Linked DNA regions of Callithrix jacchus. The protein of the gene in region 2 interacts with the protein of the main gene of each other region in a pairwise test. Links are inferred from orthologs where the notes say so. Each region holds a gene or a part of one and is shown on either strand. Other genes may lie near its edges. The genes, in order: AP4M1 and USP47.

What was found.
Region 1: the proteins of USP47 (region 2) and AP4M1 interact in binary tests that used the Homo sapiens proteins (3 or more experiments, as listed by UniProt). The two-hybrid records come from large-scale screens. The link is inferred for Callithrix jacchus from reciprocal best matches to the Homo sapiens genes USP47 and AP4M1.

Annotation. Positions count from the first base shown.
Region 1 is NC_133503.1:13,478,641-13,489,482, forward strand, and holds the start of AP4M1 (AP-4 complex subunit mu-1), read right to left. Parts: upstream 6,179-10,842; 5' UTR 6,000-6,178; intron 5,752-5,999; coding exon of another isoform or gene 5,721-5,751; exon of another isoform or gene 5,624-5,720; intron 5,367-5,623; exon of another isoform or gene 5,307-5,366; 5' UTR 5,300-5,306; coding exon 5,242-5,299; intron 5,135-5,241; coding exon 5,046-5,134; intron 5,027-5,045; exon of another isoform or gene 4,963-5,026; intron 4,345-4,962; coding exon 4,238-4,344; intron 4,155-4,237; coding exon 4,058-4,154; intron 3,458-4,057; coding exon 3,347-3,457; intron 3,255-3,346; coding exon 3,174-3,254; intron 2,792-3,173; coding exon 2,729-2,791; intron 2,029-2,728; coding exon 1,962-2,028; intron 1,858-1,961; coding exon 1,804-1,857; intron 1,667-1,803; coding exon 1,560-1,666; intron 1,459-1,559; coding exon 1,364-1,458; intron 959-1,363; coding exon 914-958; intron 676-913; coding exon 625-675; intron 509-624; coding exon 397-508; intron 253-396; coding exon 28-252; 3' UTR 1-27. Other genes in the region: DNA replication licensing factor MCM7, read left to right, coding at 5,721-5,751, 6,930-7,009, 7,325-7,489, 7,661-7,785, 7,866-8,046, 8,342-8,479, 8,763-8,912, 9,103-9,217 and 3 more. UniProt on the Homo sapiens protein: Component of the adaptor protein complex 4 (AP-4). Adaptor protein complexes are vesicle coat components involved both in vesicle formation and cargo selection. They control the vesicular transport of proteins in different trafficking pathways.
Region 2 is NC_133511.1:77,817,552-77,827,806, forward strand, and holds part of USP47 (ubiquitin carboxyl-terminal hydrolase 47), read left to right. Parts: intron 1-1,139; coding exon 1,140-1,255; intron 1,256-3,621; coding exon 3,622-3,741; intron 3,742-5,509; coding exon 5,510-6,287; intron 6,288-10,255. UniProt on the Homo sapiens protein: Ubiquitin-specific protease that specifically deubiquitinates monoubiquitinated DNA polymerase beta (POLB), stabilizing POLB thereby playing a role in base-excision repair (BER). Acts as a regulator of cell growth and genome integrity.

The DNA.
Region 1 (10,842 bases), on a different chromosome or scaffold from region 2:
GGCCACTGTATCCTCATTAGGGGATCCTCAGATCCGAATGACATAGGCGTCGCTGTGGCTCAGGTGTCGCACCCACTTGTGGGGGTTGGCATTGCCGCAGGGCCTGAAGGCCAGCCTGAGGAAGCGGACCTGGAGGCCGGAACACGTGTGCCGGGGAAGCTCGAAGGAGAGGCTGGCAGGCCCCAGCCCCAGAGGAGGGGCTGAGGTGGAGAGCCCATGGCTGGGAGGTCCTGGGGGCCTTGGGACATCCATCTGTGAGGGGCAGAGGCAGGGAGAGGAAGGAGCGCAGGAAGCTGACCAAGCTGGGGGGACCAGGCAGCAACTGCTTCGGGAGGGCAGGGTCGGGGCTGCAAGTGAAGGTGGGAGGAGAGGGGCTGGAGGGTCAACAGCAAATACCTGGAAAAGGCCTGAGAGTTGAGAGCCTCCTTGCACCCGAGGCAGGTCCCAGCGAAGGGCTCCCTCTGCCAGCTCGGCCTTCTGCTCTGGGCTGCTCAGCTCCTGAGAAAGGCTGGAGTTTGGAGAGGAAAGATGCTGAGCTTGACACCTTCTCTGGGCAGGCCCATTGTGCTGACCTCACTCCCCGCCTACCTGTGCCTTGCTACCTCCCAGGGCACACGCACTTACCTGATCACCCCTCGAGGCAGGGGGAGGTGCAGCCTGACATTGAGGGCTTGGCTACAGAGGAGACGGGAACAAAGTCAGCCCCAGGAAAGCATGGTCCCTTGTCCTGTTCCCCTTCAATGTCACAATGGGATTTCAGCACAGTTGCCCCCCATCTTCCCAAATGCTACAGCCTCTACCTAAACTGGATTCTGAGGCTGGCAGGTGCATCTGAAGAGAGTAGCAGCAGATGTCCTGGCCCTGTCTCTTATCCCACAGAGCTGAACTCGGCCTCACTGGCCTCCACTCTTACCTCTTCAAGGGCAGGTCACATCGTAACTTCAGGTAAACCTGGAGCCTGGACGAGAGAATAAAACACCATGACTCGGGCCATCTCTTACTGGCATCTCACCATTCCCCACCAGGGGGCTCTGTGCAGGGCTGTGTGGGCTGTACCCCAAAGAGCTGAAGCCCAGCCCAACTCCATTAGCCAAAGCTTTTTCCTTTTTTTTTTTTTTTGAAGAGACTGGGTCTCACTATGTTGCCCAGGCTGGTCTGGAACTCCTGGGCTCAAGTGATCCTCCAACCTCAGCCTCCCAAAGTGCTGGGATTACAGGCATGAGCCACCATGCCCAGCCCAAGCCTTTTTCCAATCTGCACTTCATCACCTCTACCACCACCCCCACTCTGCAGTGAGTGTTGGGAACATACACATCCTCTCTTGGGCTCCAAGGTACTTCTGGAACCCAGGAAATGGTCTCACCGGCCTGAGCCTCGGTCCCACTGTACAGAGGGGAAGAGCCGGAAGGGGAGTGGTGAGAGGAGGTCATCGGAGAGTTGGTACCGCATCACAGTCAGCTGAGAGACCAGAGAGCAACAGGGTCAGTTTGGTCTCCTCAACCCCACACTGCCCCCTTCCCCATGGTGGACAGAATTTACAGGGCTACCCCAATCCTGACCTCGCCCTGAGGTGGCTGCAAGCGGATGATTCGATGAGACTCAAACTCGTCCAGATTAACGGAGCTGTGAAATGAGACTTCATCGACCCGGATTCCTGGCCCATAACCTGGAAAGAGAGACTTCTCTCCTGACTCCTTTTGGGAGAGGGAGAAAGGAGGGGGAAGATCCGTCTCTGACTTCTCTCCATGAACTCTCTGGCAATGAGAGACCTACCCCAGAGAGAGACAGACCCTTTCTCCTCACCTCTCAGCTCTGACTTCCCCACACAAAACTCTTCCGTCAAGCCAATGCGCATCTCTGGCAGAGGAAAGAACATTAGGAGAGCTCGCAAACTCCACGGTGTAAAACATCAAGGAACCTGCCCCAACCCCAACCCTGGGTCCTGCCTGCAGATGCCTCACCAGAGCCACTGGGAAGGAAGCTCTTGAGCCGAATCTCTCCCTGCACATCCACCTTCAGTAGGGAGCCCTGAGAGGCAGAGGTCAAGGTTGGAATTTTTCTTTTTTTTTTTTTTTTGAGACAGACTCTTGGTCTGTCACCCAGGCTGGAATGCAATGGTGCAATCTCAGCTCACTGCAACCTCTGCCTACCAGGTTCAATCGGTTCTCCTCACAGCCTCCCAACTAGCTGGGATTACAGGTGCCTGCAAGCACGCTTGGCTAAATTTGTCTTTTCAGTAGAGATGGAGTTTCATCATGTTGGCCAAGCTGGTCTCAAACTCCTGACCTCAAGTGATCCACCAGCCTCGGCCTCTCAAACCGCTGGGATTACAGGCATGAGCCACCGTGCTGACTTCTTTCTTTAAAGAGACAGCGTCTTGCTCTCTCACCCAGGCTAGAGTGCTTTGGTGCCATCCTGGCTCACTGAGGCCTCAATCTCCTGGGCTCAAGCGATCATCCTGCCTCAGCCTCCCAAGTAGCTGGGACAGCAGGTGTACACTACCATGCCTGGGTAATTTTTTTGTATTTTGTAGAGTCAGGATCTGGCTATGTTGCCCAGGCTGGTTTCAAATTCCTGGCCCCAAGTAATTATCCCATCTCTGCCTCCCAAAGCACTGGGATTATAAGCATGAGCCACCGTGCCCAGCCATTGCTGGAGTCTTAGCCACCCCAACATGTGTCCCAAATCTCATTTGTCCTCAGCTCAAGGGATGGGAGCTCAAACTTACATTAGATGCTATCAGTACAGATAATCTCTCAACCACATCCAAAAAAACTTCATTCTTCTGGCTCTGAGAAAGAGAGAGGATTTGGGTCGTTGGAAGCAGAACAGTCTATGTTCTGAAGTGGACAGACAGAAGAAAGAACAGAAGAATGGTCAAAGCTACAGCTCTAGGGTAGGGACACAGGTGCCAGAAGGGATACCCACATCTAGGAGAGGTGGAAAACGTACCAAGATCTTTTTTTTTTTTAATTTTTGCATTTTTAGTAGAGATGGGGTTTCACCATGTTGACCAGGCTGCTCTCAAACTCCTGATGTCAGGTGATCTGCCTACCTCAGCCTCCCCAAATGCTGGGATTACAGACATGAACCACTGTGCCCAACCTAAAATCTTGGACTCTGGGGTCCCAGAGCAAAACCACAAGGTTGGACCCCATGGATCCCTCTCTCACCTGGTCAGAGCGACTGGACAGAATGGGGCGGCTGGCTGCACTGCTGGGGGCCACTTTGCTCTGTTGTGTCTCAGCCCCAAACTGTAAAGTATCCAAAGCAATCAATCCTCAGGTCTGACAACCCCAGGCAACACCCCTTCTCCTTCCTCACCCTCCTCTTTTTCTCTGCTGACCAAGCCAACACTGCTGAGGTCAAAGAGGCTGAAGGGCTTGCTGACCACAGCTTCCGTCTGGATGAAATTCCTCAGCATCTCCATAGATGTGGTCTGTACGTAGCCATAATCCTAGCGTAAAAGAAGGACAGTCTGAGAAGTCAGTGGAGGGAAGGGGTAAAAAAGGTGAAGTGGGGGCCGGGTGCAGTGGCTCACCCCTGTAATCCCAGCACTTTGTGAGGCCAAGGCAGGTGGATCATGAGGTCAGGAGTTCCAGACCAGCCTGACCAACATAGTGAAACCCCATTTCTACTAAAAATACAAAAAATTAGCCAGGCAGGTGGCATGTGCCTGTAGTCCCAGCTACTCAGGAGGCTGAGGCAGAAGAATCACTTGAACTCAAGAGGCAGAGGTTGCGGTGACCAGAGATCCAGCCACTGCACTCCAGCCTGGGCGCCAGAGACTCCTGTCTCCATAAAAAATAAACAATTAGTTGGGCACAGGGGAGGCTGGGGCAGGAGGATTACTTGAGCCCAGGAGTTCCAGGTTACAGTGAGCTATGACTGCACCACTGCACTCCAGCCTGGGTGACAGAGCAAAGACCCTATCTCTAAAAGGTAAAAAAAAAAGGAGTAGACTTGGTCTCCCAACCACAGCATCCCGCAGTAGAAGAGCAGAAGTATCTCCAGGGGAATTGGGGGGCGGGCACAGAAGGGGATCATTGATTCTCACCAGCACTTCATCCAGGAGCTCGTAGACCACAGCCACGTTGCGGGAGATGGTCCCCTCACCCAGGGCGCCACAGTAATCGCCCAGAAGGGTGGCCAACCTGAAGAAACACTTGGGAGTATGCATTTCCTCCTCCTCTTAGACCCCCACTAGCTACCAGGTGTCCAGCCCAGCCCTCCTCACCTGGAGAGCAGTTCTAGGAGGCCGAAGGGAGAAACGTTTTCTGAAGTTGTGACCACCAAATAGAGGCCGCTGTGTCTGATGTGAATGAAATGACGGCCCTCGTGATGCTGAGACACAGGCAGGTAGAGTAGCATTAGGAAAAAGGAGCTGGGGTGATCAGAACCCAGGAGACCTGAGCTCGGATCCCGATGCCTCTTACTAGTCACAGTAGCAGTGACTTCGGGAGATACATGACAGGTTCCTGAACCCAGCTTCCCAATGTGGAAACGGGGTTAATTACAGTAGCTACACCTAGTTGCTGAGGATGGAGTCATAAAGGGAGCTGGGCCTGGTGTTTTGCTGCCACCTGATGTAAGTTTTTTTTGTCCCAACGTCCCCCCCCCCCCGACCCCTGCCCGATGTAGTCTTGCTCTGTCACCCAAGCTGGAGTGCAGTGTGGCGATCTCGGCTCACTGCAGCCTCTGCCTCACGGGTTCAAGCGAGTCTCCTGGCTCAGCCTCCCTAGTAGCTGGGATTACAGGCGCTCACCACTAGGCCTGGCTAATTTTTTTGTATTTTTAGTAGAGGCGGGGGTTTCACCAGGTTGGCCAGGCTGGTTTCGAACTCCTGACCTCAGGTGATCCGCCCCCCTCGGCCTCCCAAAGTGCTGGGATTACAGGCATGAGACACCGGGCCTCTTGTTAGTTTTATATGGAAGAATGCACCCCATCCCAAGTGGAAGCTACCAAGGAATCAGCCCTGGGAGGGAGCCGGCGGGCCAGGTGGGCGCCGGCTCCCTGCTCCCCACCCGCCTCCCGCCAGTGGTTACCATGACAACCGGGGACTCGTCTCCTGGCAGTCCCGTCAGCTTCCGGTAGAAGAGCTCGGCCACATCCCGGCCGCCACTGTCCCCACGGACTGGCGGGTGGAAGAACTCAGTGAAGAAGCCTGCGACACGGGCTGGCCCCGGGCGCCCCTCCCGCCCGACACCTCCGCCCCTTCCCAGCCCCGCGGGTCTAGGATACAGTCTTTGTAGATGAGCGGGTCCCCCTTGGAGGACAGAATGAAGAACTGGGAAATCATGGCCGTTCTGGAGAGTAAACGAGAAGACGGCGAAAGTTGGGCCTGCCCCGCCCTGAGGCCCCGGAACAAAGGAACACGCGTGCGCTGGCCCTTTAAGAGCGATTCTGCTCCGCCTAAGCCAGCTCGGACCGCGGGAAACCAGACGCCCGCCCAGCCTAGCTCGGCGATTCCCTCCCGACGCCCACACCGCCTCCCCGTCACTCATTCCAGGTCCTCCTGGTGATTGGCTTGAGGCTAGCTGGAGGCGGGGAGAGGGCCGGCCTCTGCAATTGGCCGGCAGGCAGTGGCGCCGGTCACGTGGGGGCGACGTTTCGCGCCAATTTCGGTTGGTCAGCCACAGTCCACCGCGCGGACGTTCTCCGCTTGCCCGGGACCCAGACCTCTGAGTCCGCCAAGCGCTGCCGTACGGGCCTCGGTAGTGATGGCACTGAAGGACTACGCGATCGAGAAAGGTACTGCTCTACGAGCCTGGGAGGGCGTCCTGCGCGGGGAGCCTCCCGGGGAACACCTATTGGTGTGAGCTGGGGTCTTGTGGAGCCGGGATCAGCAAGTTCTGGGGACCACAAGGCTAGAGGCAGGGTCGGGCGGCCGCCCGGCTGAGGCCCACGAGGCGCAGGTGGCATCCATGTTGAAGAAAAGCTGGTAATCCCACGTAGTAAAGGTGTTAGGGTCATGGAGTTGGGGGCTTGGGGGCGCTAACCTGGCTGGGGGGGTGCTGCATAGGGGAGAATCGCGCCCAAGACCTCGGAGTACCCTAAGGACTCTGGGGTTCCGGGCCTGCTTTCCTCCGCGCTTTTGGGCATTCCCCAGTTCCCGCGTCCTCCCGAGGCGCGCGGAGGCCCTGGGGGCGGGCAGGCCGGGCCGCTACGCACCAGGATTGGCCGTTTGAGGCCGCCCTCCAAGCGGAAGTGGAGCCGGGCGGAAGTGGCGCGACGCGGATGGAGGGAGTGTCGTGTAAACAGTGTCCTTCCGCGCAGCGGCCTCGGAGAGAGCTGTGGCCCAGGGGAGGGGGCGTGCCTGGGAACCGGGAGCTTCGCTCGTGCCCCGGAAAGGCGGTAGTGGGCTGGGATCGCGGCGGCCCCAGGCGTGTTGTCCAATGGCTGGATGGGCTCCCGCCCTGGGCGGAGGAATCCCGGGCTGTGAGGCGGCTGGAATCCGGTCCCATGTGCTTCTTTGTTTACTAAGAGCGGAAGCGCTGGCGGGAGCGGGGGTGGGGTGCGCGACCCGCCTGATGGCGGAGGTCCTGGCGAGATCAGGGGCTCAGGGGCCCAAAGAAGGTGGGGGATCATAGGGGTGGAAGGAAGGCTGAGAACCTTGAGATCGGAGTGTGGGGCGCCGATGAGGAAGGGCGCTAGGGTTTTAAAGTAGGGACCGGAATTCCCCTGGGAAGACGATGTTGGATCATCCTGTGAACTGCCACGACCTCTTTATTCTTCGCTGATTAAAAACAAACTTGTGAAAAAGAGTTATACCCATTTTGGGGAGAATTCGGTAGGTTTATTTAAATGCTCATATCGTTAACTAGTTCATAAATCGTGTTTTAAGTGAAAATAGGCGTCTTAGATTTCTGTCAGAGGGATGGGCAGTAATATAAAGTTTGTGTCTTATGATTTTACCTTTTACGTTACAGAAAAGGTTAAGAAGTTCTTACAAGAGTTCTACCAGGATGATGAACTTGGGAAGAAGCAGTTCAAGTATGGGAACCAATTGGTGAGTCTAAGATTGGGTAAAGAGAATGAGGAGTCGGGTTTTAAGAAGTCCTAAGAAGCGGCTTGTTTCATCAAGGATGTTTTTCTGACATGTTTATCAGGGCATTTGATATCTGGTAAGAGAATGTGATGCTATAGTATTTTCATAATAATTAGAGAGTTTGGGGGCTGAGAAGTGAGTGTGCTCTCTGAGGTGCTATGTTCTCCCCTGTGGATGCCCAGAGCCCGTGCTGAGCTCTCAGTGATGCATCTTCACACGTGAACACTGAACAAGTGAACATGGCTCTGAGGTGTTGCTGTCTCTTTCCCACCTGAGGTTCGGCTGGCTCATAGGGAACAGGTGGCTCTGTACGTGGACCTGGATGATGTAGCTGAGGATGACCCTGAGTTGGTGGACTCAATTTGTGAGAATGCCAGGCGCTACGCAAAGCTGTTTGCTGATGCGGTACAAGAGCTGCTGCCTCAGTACAAGGAGAGGGAGGTGAGTGACTGGAGAACAATGCAGGGCAAGGCGTTTCAGCTTCTGTTAAGAAGCTTCTCAGATACTGATGTTTTCGGAGCCAGGCAGAAAGCAGGGGCACTTCTGCCTGGCATTGTCTGTGCTCTCCTTTCCCCATCCTGTTACTCATTTTTTTCTGCTCTTCTCCTTTAGGTGGTAAATAAAGATGTCCTGGATGTTTATATTGAACATCGGCTTATGATGGAGCAGCGGACTCGGGACCCTGGGATGGCCCGAAGCCCCCAGAACCAGTATCCCGCTGAACTCATGCGCAGATTGTGAGTGGTCTCTGTTGGGAAGGATGTAGGGATTGGTTTGTGACTCCAGGATCTTGTTTGTGACTGTTTTCTCCTCTTAGTGAGCTGTATTTTCAAGGCCCAAGCAGCAACAAGCCTCGTGTGATCCGGGATGTGCGAGCTGACTCTGTGGGGAAATTGGTGACTGTGCGTGGAATCGTCACCCGTGTCTCTGAAGTCAAACCCAAGATGGTAGTGGCCACTTACACTTGTGACCAGTGCGGGGCAGAGACCTACCAGCCGGTACGTGTGGAGGAAGGAGCAGGAAAGCACTTCACACTTAGTCATTTTATAGAAATTGATATGATCCATGATGCCTATCGTTTTTTCTGGTTGTAAAAGCTACCTATGTGTTCACTTTTCATTCTTGGGTATGTAGTGGTCTTTCTATTTTCTGGGTGTCTTCTGTTGTCTAGAATAAGCTCAAAGAGTTCTTGATTCAGAAGATGTCTGCCATGAAGAGAAAACATGATTCAAGAGACCGAGATGGGGCTGTTTTTCTTCTGACTTCCTTTGGTGTTTCTGTTCTCAATCCTAGATTCAGTCTCCCACTTTCATGCCTCTGATCATGTGCCCAAGCCAGGAGTGCCAAACCAACCGCTCAGGAGGGCGGCTGTATCTGCAGACACGGGGCTCCAAATTCATCAAATTCCAGGAGATGAAGATGCAAGAACATGTGAGTTTGGGGTATGTGGCCCTGGGCAGGTGGATCAGGAGTCCACTTGAATCCTGTAGTCACTGGTGGAATGGCAAGAAGAACAAAAGAGGGAAGTGCAGGAGTGAGGTGGAACTGGGGTTTCTTGAGAGCCTTGGCAAGGGGAGAAAGGCAGTCTCAGCTTCCGTCCTGTGGGCTTATCTGTGGCTGGGCAGGCAGGGAGTCTTGGCGTGGGATGCCTAGGGAGGGAAGGTTGGGTCCTTGTTTATTTCTCCTGAGCCTTATGTGCTCTTCCCTCCCCTAGAGTGACCAAGTACCCGTGGGAAATATCCCTCGTAGTATCACAGTGCTGGTAGAAGGAGAGAACACAAGGATCGCCCAGCCTGGAGACCATGTCAGTGTCACTGGTATCTTCCTGCCAGTCTTGCGCACTGGGTTCCGACAGGTGGTACAGGTAAGGAAGGGAGTTTGATATGAGGAACAGATCATCCCATTTCCCCTCACCCACTGTACCCATACAGAGAAAAGTGAGTAGCAAAGCACCAAACAAAACAACACAGTGCTTTATCAAGAAATTGTTAGGGAATCTGGTGATGGGTAAGTTCTAAGGATTGCATCTGTATCCTGACATTTTCCTGCCTAAGGGTTTACTCTCAGAAACCTACCTGGAAGCCCATCGGATTGTGAAGATGAACAAGAGTGAGGATGATGAGTCTGGGGCTGGAGAGCTCAGCAGGGAGGAGCTGAGGCAGATTGCAGGTGATGCTCAGGAGAGAGAGGAAATTCCGTTTACATCCTACCCCCCCATTTTCCCCCACAAAATACCTTAACCTTAAAATTCTCCACAGAGGAGGATTTTTACGAAAAGCTGGCAGCTTCAATTGCCCCAGAGATATATGGGCATGAAGATGTGAAGAAGGCACTGCTGCTCCTGCTAGTGGGGGGTGTGGACCAGTCTCCTCGAGGCATGAAAATCAGGGGTAAGAAGAAAAAAGGGCAAGGCTCAGGGTAGATGAAGTCATTTGGGAGGAAAAAAGGATGACAAGTGTCCCCATAGGTCACAGTATAAGAGTGGGCGTCTTCGATTCATGGACACAGGGAGGGCTTAGAAGTAATGCTAGGTGTTGGGGGAGGCAGAATTCAAAATTGCTCTGCTGTTGGCCAACTTGCACTGGGAGAAGAGTCATTCCTGGGCTGCCTGTCTTCCTCTAGGCAACATCAACATCTGTCTGATGGGGGATCCTGGTGTGGCCAAGTCTCAGCTTCTGTCATATATCGATCGCCTGGCCCCCCGCAGTAAGTAGTTGGACTTTGAGAGGGGTGAACATAGTGACAGACAGGACCACAGGGTTTATTCAAAAAGTGGGGGTGCATAGTGGCTTACACCTGTAATCTCAGTGCTCTCAGGCTGAGACAGGAGAATCATTTGGGGCCAAGAGTTTGAGACCAGCCTGGGCACCATAGTGAGACCCCGTCTCTACTAAAAAGGGCTTTTTTTTATTATTATTATTTTTGTTTGTTTGTTTTTGTTTTGAGACAGTCTCACTTTGTCGCCCAGGCTGGAGTACAGTGGCGTGGTCTCAGCTCACTGCAACCTCCACCTGCTGAATTCAAGTGATTCTCCTGCCTCAGCGCCCCACAGAACCTTGGGCATCCCGGGGAAGGCCTGGGGCAGGTGGAACAATCCCAGCGCAGCCCCCCCTCTCTGGCTCATTTCTTGTCTTTTGCTTGCTCTCTCTCTCGTTCCTTTCTATCTCCTAACATGGCTCCTTATTTCTTCTCTTCCAGGCCAGTACACAACAGGCCGGGGCTCCTCAGGAGTGGGACTTACAGCAGCTGTGCTGAGAGACTCCGTGAGTGGAGAACTGACTTTAGAGGGTGGAGCCCTGGTGCTGGCTGACCAGGGCGTGTGCTGCATTGATGAGTTTGACAAGATGGCTGAGGCCGACCGAACAGCCATCCACGAGGTCATGGAACAGCAGACCATTTCTATCGCCAAGGCTGGCATCCTCACCACACTCAATGCCCGCTGCTCTATCCTGGCTGCTGCCAACCCTGCCTATGGTCGATACAACCCTCGCCGCAGCCTGGAGCAGAACATACAGCTGCCTGCTGCACTGCTTTCCCGGTTTGACCTCCTCTGGCTGATTCAGGACCGGCCTGACCGTGACAATGACCTACGGTGAATGAAGCTCAACACCCAAAGAGAGGTCCCCTGTAATGATCTGTGGCAGGGGCCGGGGGTGAATCAAAATAAATACCCAGCTCCTGGAAATCCCAGAACCTCCTCCTTGTGTCAGGGACTGGTCCAAGGTTCTCAGGAAAATGGTGGGTTGGGGCTGAAATGCTAATGAGGATTTCCCAGGAAAGCTTGTTCCTGCTAT
Region 2 (10,255 bases):
TTGTTCATCTGTCACTGGGTCAGGGTCTGCTGGTCAGACCCAGCACAGTTTCCTTAAAGACAGTTACATGGTCTGTTTTGTGTCCAGAGTTTTCTATAAATTGTAACAAATAGGAGAAAAGCAAAATGTTTAAATAATTTTACAAAATTTTTACTGTTGTGCTTGACCCTAACTCCTTTGCATCACTGTTTAGTTAAAATTCAGACTTAAGTCCTCTGTGTTGTTTTCCTAAATGTTGAACTTAAAAAACCTTATTCTCCCCTTTTACAATGATATTCCTTTATGGATCCTGTATATCTCCTTTTTAAATGAAGGCATCTCTTTACAGAGTAGGTTATATGTAATACTCTTTCAAGGAGCCTACATCTCTTAAGTGGGAAAATTTCATTTCTGAAAACCTTATGATGCCTGCTTCAGTTAAGACTCTACCTTATCTATAAAAAGTCCCTTAAGGACATTTTCTTGCTTTTTTTTTTTTTGAGCTAGACAGGAAAAAGAATGATTAGGGTGTAACATGAGTCAGCAGTAATACCACTTATTTGAAAGAGAACTCTAAATGCGAGTGCAGATTGTAAGACTTATAAAGTAGTCTTTCATTAATAATCTGGATCTTAGCAGAAGATTTTGTTAGATTTAGATAACAACATAGGGAAAAAAATAAGGATTGACATAAAACATGAGGTTAAAACAGATACATAGTAACTACATATTAAATACAGTGTTTGAAGATTAACGATGTAGTTACATAAACATAACCTGAAAACAGAAGAGAAGAAAATGGGATTTAATTTTAATAAAAGGATTCAAGTGAGAAAACAGATACATAATCACAGCAGTTTTTGTGTGGAATTTTCTTTGTGATATAGAAAATACTATTTTGAGAATAGGAAGTTTTTGATGATGAACAAGGTTTTGAGTGGCTTAATGAGGCATTTACTCAAAAGCAAGCGGGAGAGCTGTGTGGCCTTTAATATTTGTTTTGCAGTATATGGTGATTTATATTTATTCAATGTTGTTTTGGTCTGTACTTGGAAGTTTGGATTTGTCATCTATTAGAAACACATTAATAATGCATCACTCATGTGAAAGACATTAAAAAATAACCTCCAATTATGTGTTTATATCTTCAAATGTGACAGAAGTGATGGTGAAAGTTCACGTTGTTGATTTAAAAGCAGAATCTGTAGCTGCTCCAATAACTGTTCGTGCTTACTTAAATCAGACGGTTACAGAGTTCAAACAACTGATTTCAAAGGTAAGTTTTAAAAGGGGTTAGTAAATATATTTTTAAGTGCCTGTTACATACAAGACACTGTGTGATAGTTATGAATAAGATACAAGCTCTACCTCCAGGAGCTAATATTTGTAGTTAGGAGACAGCTGTGGTTTAAAAGAAACAGATTGAACAGGAAGTAAGAAAATGTGGGGCAAGTACATATAACAACTTGTATGTGTTGGCTGGATTATCGTAAAATACAGGATTGGAAATATTAGTGCAGTTTATTTCATAAAGAGCTTTAAACAGTAAACACAAAAGTTTGGGCTCCTTTTTGGTGTAGGCAATAAGAAGTCGATTTTTTTGCTGGTGGTGGTGTTAAGTGAGGCAATGCTGCACTTAGTGTCTGGTGACACTATACTAGTGTTCCACATGCCTTTACAGAGAGTCAGGAATGGAGAGGAGGAAGCTGTTGAAATAATTCAAGTGCAGGTGTATGACTGGAAATGAGAGAACACATAGATTCCAAGAGGGATAGAATCTGCAGGACTTGTAATTATTAAATGTAGGGATAAAGCTGATGCAACCGTGACCTAAGCCAGAGGTTTCAAACTTGGGTAACCAGAAAAGTAGGGATACATTAACAAAAATAGAAGAGGAAGGTGACCATGTAGACTTGACAGGGAGCATGATGAATTAAATACTGGCGCCATTATATGAGCTAATGATAAAGAACATAGGCTTATTCAGATTTCTTGAGCTGGAAAAATATGAGAATGAAAACATTCAAGTTTGGGGTGGGGGGCAAAAGGATTAGTCCATACCAGACAAACGATTATCATCCTTTCAAGGGTCCTGTACTCCTCAGAACCTTGAGCATACAAACAGGCAAAATTTTTCAGGGTTCTCAAACCGTAGGTTAAGATCCCCTCATGTAGTGGAAATTGTTCCATAATTACAAGTCGAGTTCAGGTTTCAGTCATTCATCTTATGGTAGTCTTGTCTTTCATCTCATTAGTTGGGGTTTTAAATACCTGTTTAACAGGGTTGTAGTGAGCATTAATGAAAAATAAATGCTCTGTGGAAAAAAATTGTAAGATGTTACGTAAGAGTTGGTTATTATTATGCTCTTAAAAATATATTTTGACTTATATTTATATGACTTCTAACAGTTTTGCTAAATTAATAACCAGGAAACAAATCATTTTTGTGAAATTATATTTTATGATTAAATTGCTTGTAAATGCATAGTATGTTGGTATGATATACTCTGTATTACATTTTTGAAATTTGAATGCCAAATGTAGAAGAATTCAGTTTAGTAAGCACTCAGGCATAATACAAAAGAAAGAGACACAATAGTTTCTTCCCAAGAAGTTAATAATGTTATTGAGAAAAATATGTCTAAGGCCAGGCATAGTGGCTCATGCCTGTAATCTCAGCACTTTGGAAGGCCGATGTGGATGGATCATTTGAGGTCAGGAGTTCAAGAGCAGCCTGGTCAACGGTGAAACCCCATCTCTAATAAACATACAAAAATTAGCCAGGCATGGTGGCTCATGCCTGTAGTCCCAGCTCCTTGGGGGCTGAAGCAGGGTAACTGCTTGAACACAGGAAACAGGTTACAGTGAGCTGAGGCTGTGCCACCAGTCCAGCCTGGGCAATAGAGCAAGACTGAATCTCAAAAAAAAAAGAAAGACAGCGGAGGTTGCAGTGAGCCAAGAAAAATATGTCTATAGAGAATAAAGGCGGTCACAAAACATCATGTAAACAAAGACAGTGTTTTAAAGTATAATCAGACTGCTTAAGAATTAGGTTTTTATAACTAATAACCTAAGTCATATTGAAAATAAATTGTGTTCTTTAAAACGGAGGTAATTTTTACCTGCTTTCATGTGAAATTTATGAAATGACTCCAGAGTTTAAAGATGCAGACTTAGAGAATAACTTAAAATTTTAACTACTAATCTTCCCATTTCACACAAAGGAAAATTGCTTATTGCTTTAATAAAAGTATAACAACTATTCACAAGACTACAGAAGGGCCTGTCAAAAGCCAAGAAGTTCAACATTTTAATATCACTCAAAATGTCAAGTTATTCAGTTTCTTTGGAATCGGATCACTCATTTACTTGGCAAATTTGAGAAGAATAGCATTTCTAGGACAAAATCCTTACCTTTAAAATAGTTTCAGAGCATACATTTATAAGTGGTATTTTGTTCTCCTGATTTGCAGCATAATTTATGGCTATAACTAATTTTTTTCTTTAATTCAAAATTTTTAAAACCTAGTAAATTATTTTTCTCTCTGTTGCTTTTAAGAAGAATTCAGCAGTGTCTTGCTTTCTAAGTAAAGCAGAATTATTTTTGAAAGAGTATTTTTTATTAAATTGCTTTTATTATAGGCCATCCATTTACCTGCTGAAACAATGAGAATTGTGCTGGAACGCTGCTATAATGATTTGCGTCTTCTCAGTGTCCCCAGTAAAACCCTGAAAGCCGAAGGATTTTTTAGAAGTAACAAGGTATGTCACTTATTTTTTTATTACTATTTTCTATGCTGATAATAGTAAATAAAATTAGTTCAGTATTATAAGCCTGGCCTCCACAGCTGTTCAACATCTGTCTGAAACTTAACTTAAAATTCTCAGGTTTTCCTAATAATTAGCTTCCTTTGTAGTCATGTCAGATCAGGCTCCTTTGTGTCCTGTCAATCAGTCTTAACAGTTCTCCTCTTCTTTGCCTTTGCTCATGTACACTCCCACCTAAAGTGTTCTTCCTCCTCTCCCTGCATTTTTTTTTTTCGATCTCTAGATTAGTCCTATCTCTTTGGTGAAACCCTCATAAACATTTCTACCCACAGTGATTATGTCCCCTGAATTTTGTTCACTTCATGGTGAAGGTCAGAGGCATACCTGGTATAGAAAAAATTATCATCTTGAGTTTACCCACCAATATTCCCTTTGCCTACTCATTTTTCTCTATTGGAAAGGAGAAAGTTCATGTTAATCCTCTTCTTTTGTCTTGATATTATTATGTGTTTCATCATTTATCATTTTTCATATGTGTCTATCACTTTTTCTAGTCTCATTTATCTTAGTACAGTCTAGTCTTTTATCTCATTTAACTTTTTTAGTATTATTTTATTAATCCCCATATGTAATTTTTATTCACCTATGCTTCTAAAACTTTTGTGTTGTGGGAGAGGGGGTGTATGTGTATCTGTAAAACATTAAAATCTCTAATCCCCTCCAATACTACTTTAGGGTAAGTAGTACAGGAAGGATCTAACTTTTTTTTGCCTTAAGTGGTTAGCCTACTAGTTTCAGTTTGTAACATTTACTGAATAGAATAATGATAGTGTTATCCTTTTATGCAAAAGCCAACATGCTATTTATTATCCCCAAATTTATGCCAAAAATGAATTTCATATTTTAAAAAAGATGTATTATGGAAAATTTCAAACATAAACAAAAGTAGAGAGAATAGGGAAAATAGAGTGACCCCCCCCCACCACATCCCCATCACTCAGCTTCTATAGTTATCGTCTGTTGTTTTATCTATATTTTAACTACCTGCTTCCCCCAGATTATTTGATAAACTTCCTCAGGATTATATCATTTCATCTATAGATAATATGAATGTATATCTCTAAATGAATAGAACTCTTAAAAAAAATGAAATTTACATTATGTACCTAAAAAATACCTTAATAGCAGCCTGTATCTTAGTCAGTATTCAAATTTCTCTGATTATCTTAGAAAAGTTTTTTCTGTAAATTTTCCTGTGTCTTTTTCATTTGCTTTCTTGCAGTTTATTTGTTACAAAACCAGGTTATTTGCCCATTAAATTTTTCGATGATCTGGATTTTGGTGTTATATTCACAAGGTGTCTTTACACATGTTTCCTATGTTTGTAATTCAGGCTAAACTTGGTTTTCCTAAAGGTGAAGGATTTATACAATCTAAAGAAAAACCAGATTATTAATTTCCTAAAGAGAAGTATGTATAATACAACTTTCTGAAATTGGACATCCCAGTAAACAAGGTGTTTGTGGATATGTGTATGTCCATGTCCTCTATCTTTGTGTAGTTTTATGGCTAGTTACAAAGACATTTGAGCCTAATATTTATTTTATTCAGTCTCCAAAACAATGCAGTGTCCTTCAGAAACTTTATCATCGCATTTTATAACATAACCGTGTATTGTCTTGTACTGATGCAATATTATGATTATGATGAATGAGAATGTCACTGAAATTAACATATAATAAAACTCTGATTTACTATGTAGGTGTTTGTTGAAAGTTCCGAGACTTTGGATTACCAGATGGCCTTTGCAGACTCTCACTTATGGAAACTCTTGGATCGGCATGCAAATACAATCAGATTATTTGTTTTGCTACCTGAACAATCCCCAGGATCTTATTCCAAAAGGACAGCATACCAGAAAGCTGGAGGCGATTCTGGTAATGTGGATGATGATTGTGAAAGAGTCAAAGGACCTGTAGGAAGCCTAAAGTCTGTGGAAGCTATTCTAGAAGAAAGCACTGAAAAACTCAAAAGCTTATCACTGCAGCAACAGCAGGATGGAGATAATGGGGACAGCAGTAAAAGTACTGAGACAAGTGACTTTGAAAACATCGAATCACCTCTCAATGAGAGGGACTCTTCAGCATCAGTGGATAACAGAGAACTTGAACAGCATATTCAGACTTCTGATCCAGAAAATTTTCAGTCTGAGGAACGATCAGACTCAGATGTGAATAATGACAGGAGTACAAGTTCAGTGGACAGTGATATTCTTAGCTCCAGTCATAGCAGTGACACTTTGTGCAATGCAGACAATGCTCAAATCCCTTTGGCTAATGGACTTGACTCTCACAGTATTACAAGTAGTAGAAGAACTAAAGCAAATGAAGGGAAAAAAGAGACATGGGATACGGCAGAAGAAGACTCTGGAACTGATAGTGAATATGATGAGAGTGGCAAGAGTAGGGGAGAAATGCAGTACATGTATTTCAAAGCAGAACCCTATGCTGCAGATGAAGGTTCTGGGGAAGGACATAAATGTATGTACTTCAAAAGAAAAAAGGTCCCTGAAACAGCGTCATTTTTTCTGTCAGTTTATTTAAATTTTCAGTTAAGTGTTAGGTACTTATTTCTAAGATCATTTGTAACTTTCTGGATTATAAGATTATTCTCTATTGACTTTGGTTTTTGATGCAGTTGTAATGAACACTGTTCTTAGACCTGTGCAATAAATTAGATGTTAATTATGTCAGAACTCTGACATAAGTAAAAAAATAATATTCAATATTAGGAAAGAATTATGAATACAGTTACTAAGTAAAAAATTCAGGAATATATTAAAAAGTAAGTAATATGTTTTTAAAAAGCTCGGACACTTTAGAAAATTTGGTATTCAATGCCCACAAACTGTTTTATTTCTACATGCTCTTGTCTCCATTTTCCAGTGCAAACGACAATTTCCTTGCTACACCCCCTTAAAAGTCCATAATTAACTGCGAAAGTCAGAGTAAGAAAAAGCGCTTTTAAAAATTTTTTTTGTTACTTTGAAGTAAATCCAAAGCAAGGAGTTACTAGAAATTCCAATGCATAATCTCAGAAAGATGGAAGAGATCTGAGAGTTTGGGCATTTAGCATAAGTGGTAACAACAAAAACATTCCAGCATTGTATGAGACTTAAAATAAAAGAACCTTTATAAAACCTTAGATGAGGGCCAGCCAAATAATTAGCGAGACAACCAGGATTAAGATACAAAATATTTCTTCCAAGTATAAAAGAGAAATAGCCGAAAAAGTAAATACTTTGCATTAGTTCTAAAAAAGCAAATATTAATACTATTTATATTTTTATATTTTAGCTTATTTGTTCTTACTTAAACCTTCTCCAAACTTAATAAAGCAAACATTAGTATCCTTATTTGACAGATAAGAAAACCAAAGCTCATAGAGGATGAATGACTTGCCCAAAAGTGCATGTGTAGCTAGTAAGTGGGGCCATTACTAGAACTGAAGGCATCTAATTGTTCCTTTTACCTTTGGAGAAGAGCCCCACTCTTTGTCCATCCATTCATCCATCCATCCAAGTAATATTTTCTAAATCCATGCTAGATGCCAGGCCCTGTGTAGCTGTTAGAAGTAGAGACGACTGAGATGCAGCCTTTTGTTTCATCTCAGGAGGAGGAGGTACAGAGTCACCCGCTCTAAAAGTTAAGTGCTATGATTCTTATATTCTCAAAATTCTATCTGCTAAAAGGAAGTAGTAGAAATTATGAAATACAAGTATTTAAATTTGTGTTTTTAACTAGTTGTGTTAAATAACACTGGAATCATATGACATTCATACATATATCTTGCAGAAACTCAAGTGTGAAAATGAGGATTGGCCGGACAAAATGGAGAAAGGGCAATCATATTATAATAATGCTTTAAATTTCTATGGAGCATTTACCTCATAAGACTCATTAGCTTACATGAGATCAGCATGCAAATACAATCTTAGTTCTCTTAACAGCTGTGTGAAACTGATATCATTAGGCCGTTTTCACTGATGAAGAAACTGGTCGAACAGATTAAGTAATTTGCCTGCGGTCACCCAGCTCACACTGCTAGGATGAGACTCAGATATTAGGAGCCACCACCCCATGGCTGCTGCCACTGTTTTTTCCTTACATATTAGTAAAGGAAAAATAGTGGTAACTAGTCTGCTTTTTTACCATACTCAACCCATCGAGGGCATTAGAAAAATTAAAAGTAGTTCCACTTTAGTAAAAGGTTGGAAATTTCTTTTAAGTGGTCTCTGTTTTAGGATGATGTGCTAAAAATTCGACTGGATAATAGTCTCAACCTTAGGAAGAATTCAGTGGGAATGCTTAGAATTATAGTTTGAAAAGTCTGAATTCCATCTTAGAACAGTTAATAAAATCTTTAAAAAGGAGATTGTTGGCCATTTTACTATATTTGAAAATTTGTACTAGGCTTATTTACTTCATTGAAAGAGTAAATGAAATACTATTTTCATTGAAATCGTAAACATGGTGAATAAGAAAACATTCACTCTAACTTATGTATTTGGGCCTTTAGAAGCCTCAGAAAAGAGCCTGTTTGAAAAGAAAATGTGACCCTGGAAAAATGCCTTCTCATGTGTAGAAAACTGGTTTGGGGATAGGGAAGTAGGGATAGCAGCCAGCAGCCAGGTTTTTCTTGAATCTGTACTAAGACTGATTGATTGCAGCTCCTCAGTCATCTGAAATTACATCCCTGGGAAAACGTGGATGATGAGTAATAATACACATTCTTCAGAGTGATAAAATGACTTGAAAGAAAGGACAGGTAGACAATGAATTTGATATTTGAAGAATGATGCACTATGCACAGTATAGGCACTCCACTCAGGCAATAATCAAACTGTCCTTAAAACAATGGTCCTTGAGATAGCAGTTATTATCCAAGAGTTGTTTCAGAGAATAATTACAGATCATTCTCTGAGAACACTGTCCTTTTAGGACCTAGTTATAGTTGTTGGCACTTGGGTATAAACAGGAAAGCCAAGGTTAAATAAAGATGGTAGCACATTTGCAGTGAAATTTCTCCATACAATTTTGGTTACCATTTCACTTAAGAAATATGTAAGGGCCAGTTACAGTGGCTCACACCTGTAATTCCTGCACTTTGGGAGGCCAAGGTGAGAGGACTGCTTGAGCCTAGGAGTTAGGGACCAGCCTGAGCAACATAGTAAGGCCCCATTTCTACAAAAAAAATTTTTTATTTAGCCAGCATGGTCACATGCCCGTAGTTCCAACTACTTAGGAGGCTGAGGTGGAAGGGTCACTTGAGCCCAGAGGGGAGAGGCTGCAGTGGGCTATGATCATACCCCTGCACTCCAGCCTGGCCACAAGTGAGACCCTGTCTCACACACACAACAAAAAAAAAAAGGGAAAAATAAGAAATAGAAAGGACAGAAAAAGGAAAATCATAAATATATTTTAAGGTTGCTCTGTGAAGACATGACTCTTTAGTCTGAAGAGATAGATAGGAAAAATGATATAATGGTAATCTCTACAACTACAAAGTAGTTATAGCCAATAAATTAACACTCTACCAAAGCTATCCTAAACATTTTACATGTATTGGCCTCAGAACACAACTTTGAGGTTTAAATACTATTATCTCCATTTTATAGCAAAGGTAATTAAAGTACAGAGAAGTTAAGAAGTCACAGTCACAAATCTGATATATGAAGAGGAGCCAGGAATTCATTCAGTCTAGGCCATCAAATTCTAGAACCAGTCGATTATAATCACCACGTTAAACTATATCAGTAACCAACAAACATTTTTGTCTTCCTATGAAATAACACTACTAGAGGTTAGGAAAGAAACCAGAATATTCATAAAAGCTTACATTTGATTAATGCTTTAGAAAAGACTTTTACTATATGTTATGATCACATGGGAAAACTGAGGCTGAGGGAGATTGGATGACCTCCCTACAGCCATTTATCAGAGTAAAGTGACAAAACTGAAATCTAGCCATAGGCTTTCAAATTCTAATCAAGTAATTTTTGGATGACACTGTTCTGTTAAGAAATTTAGTACCTTTATTGGATAGCATAGACAGAGCTTGTTTGCCATAAGCTGGATTATTGACATAGAAGGGTACTCCTTATAGATTAAAAAGTGACATTTTAAACAAATCAAGAGAAATACTGCCTCAAAACTCAAAAGGTAGATAATGAATAAAGTTCATCATCCTCTTCATATTTTCTTCAAATCTGTACTTGTCACATTTTCTATTAATGAACCTATATTTTATAGCCAGGAAAGCAGTGAACATTATTTTATTTGAAAAAATCAGCCAGGTGCTGTGGCTTAAGCCTGTAATCCCAGCACTTAGGGAGGCCGAGGCGGGTGGATCACAAGGTCAAGAGATCGAGACCATCCTGGTCAACATGGTGAAACCCCGTCTCTACTAAAAATACAAAAAAAAAATTAGCTGGGCATGGTGGTGCGTG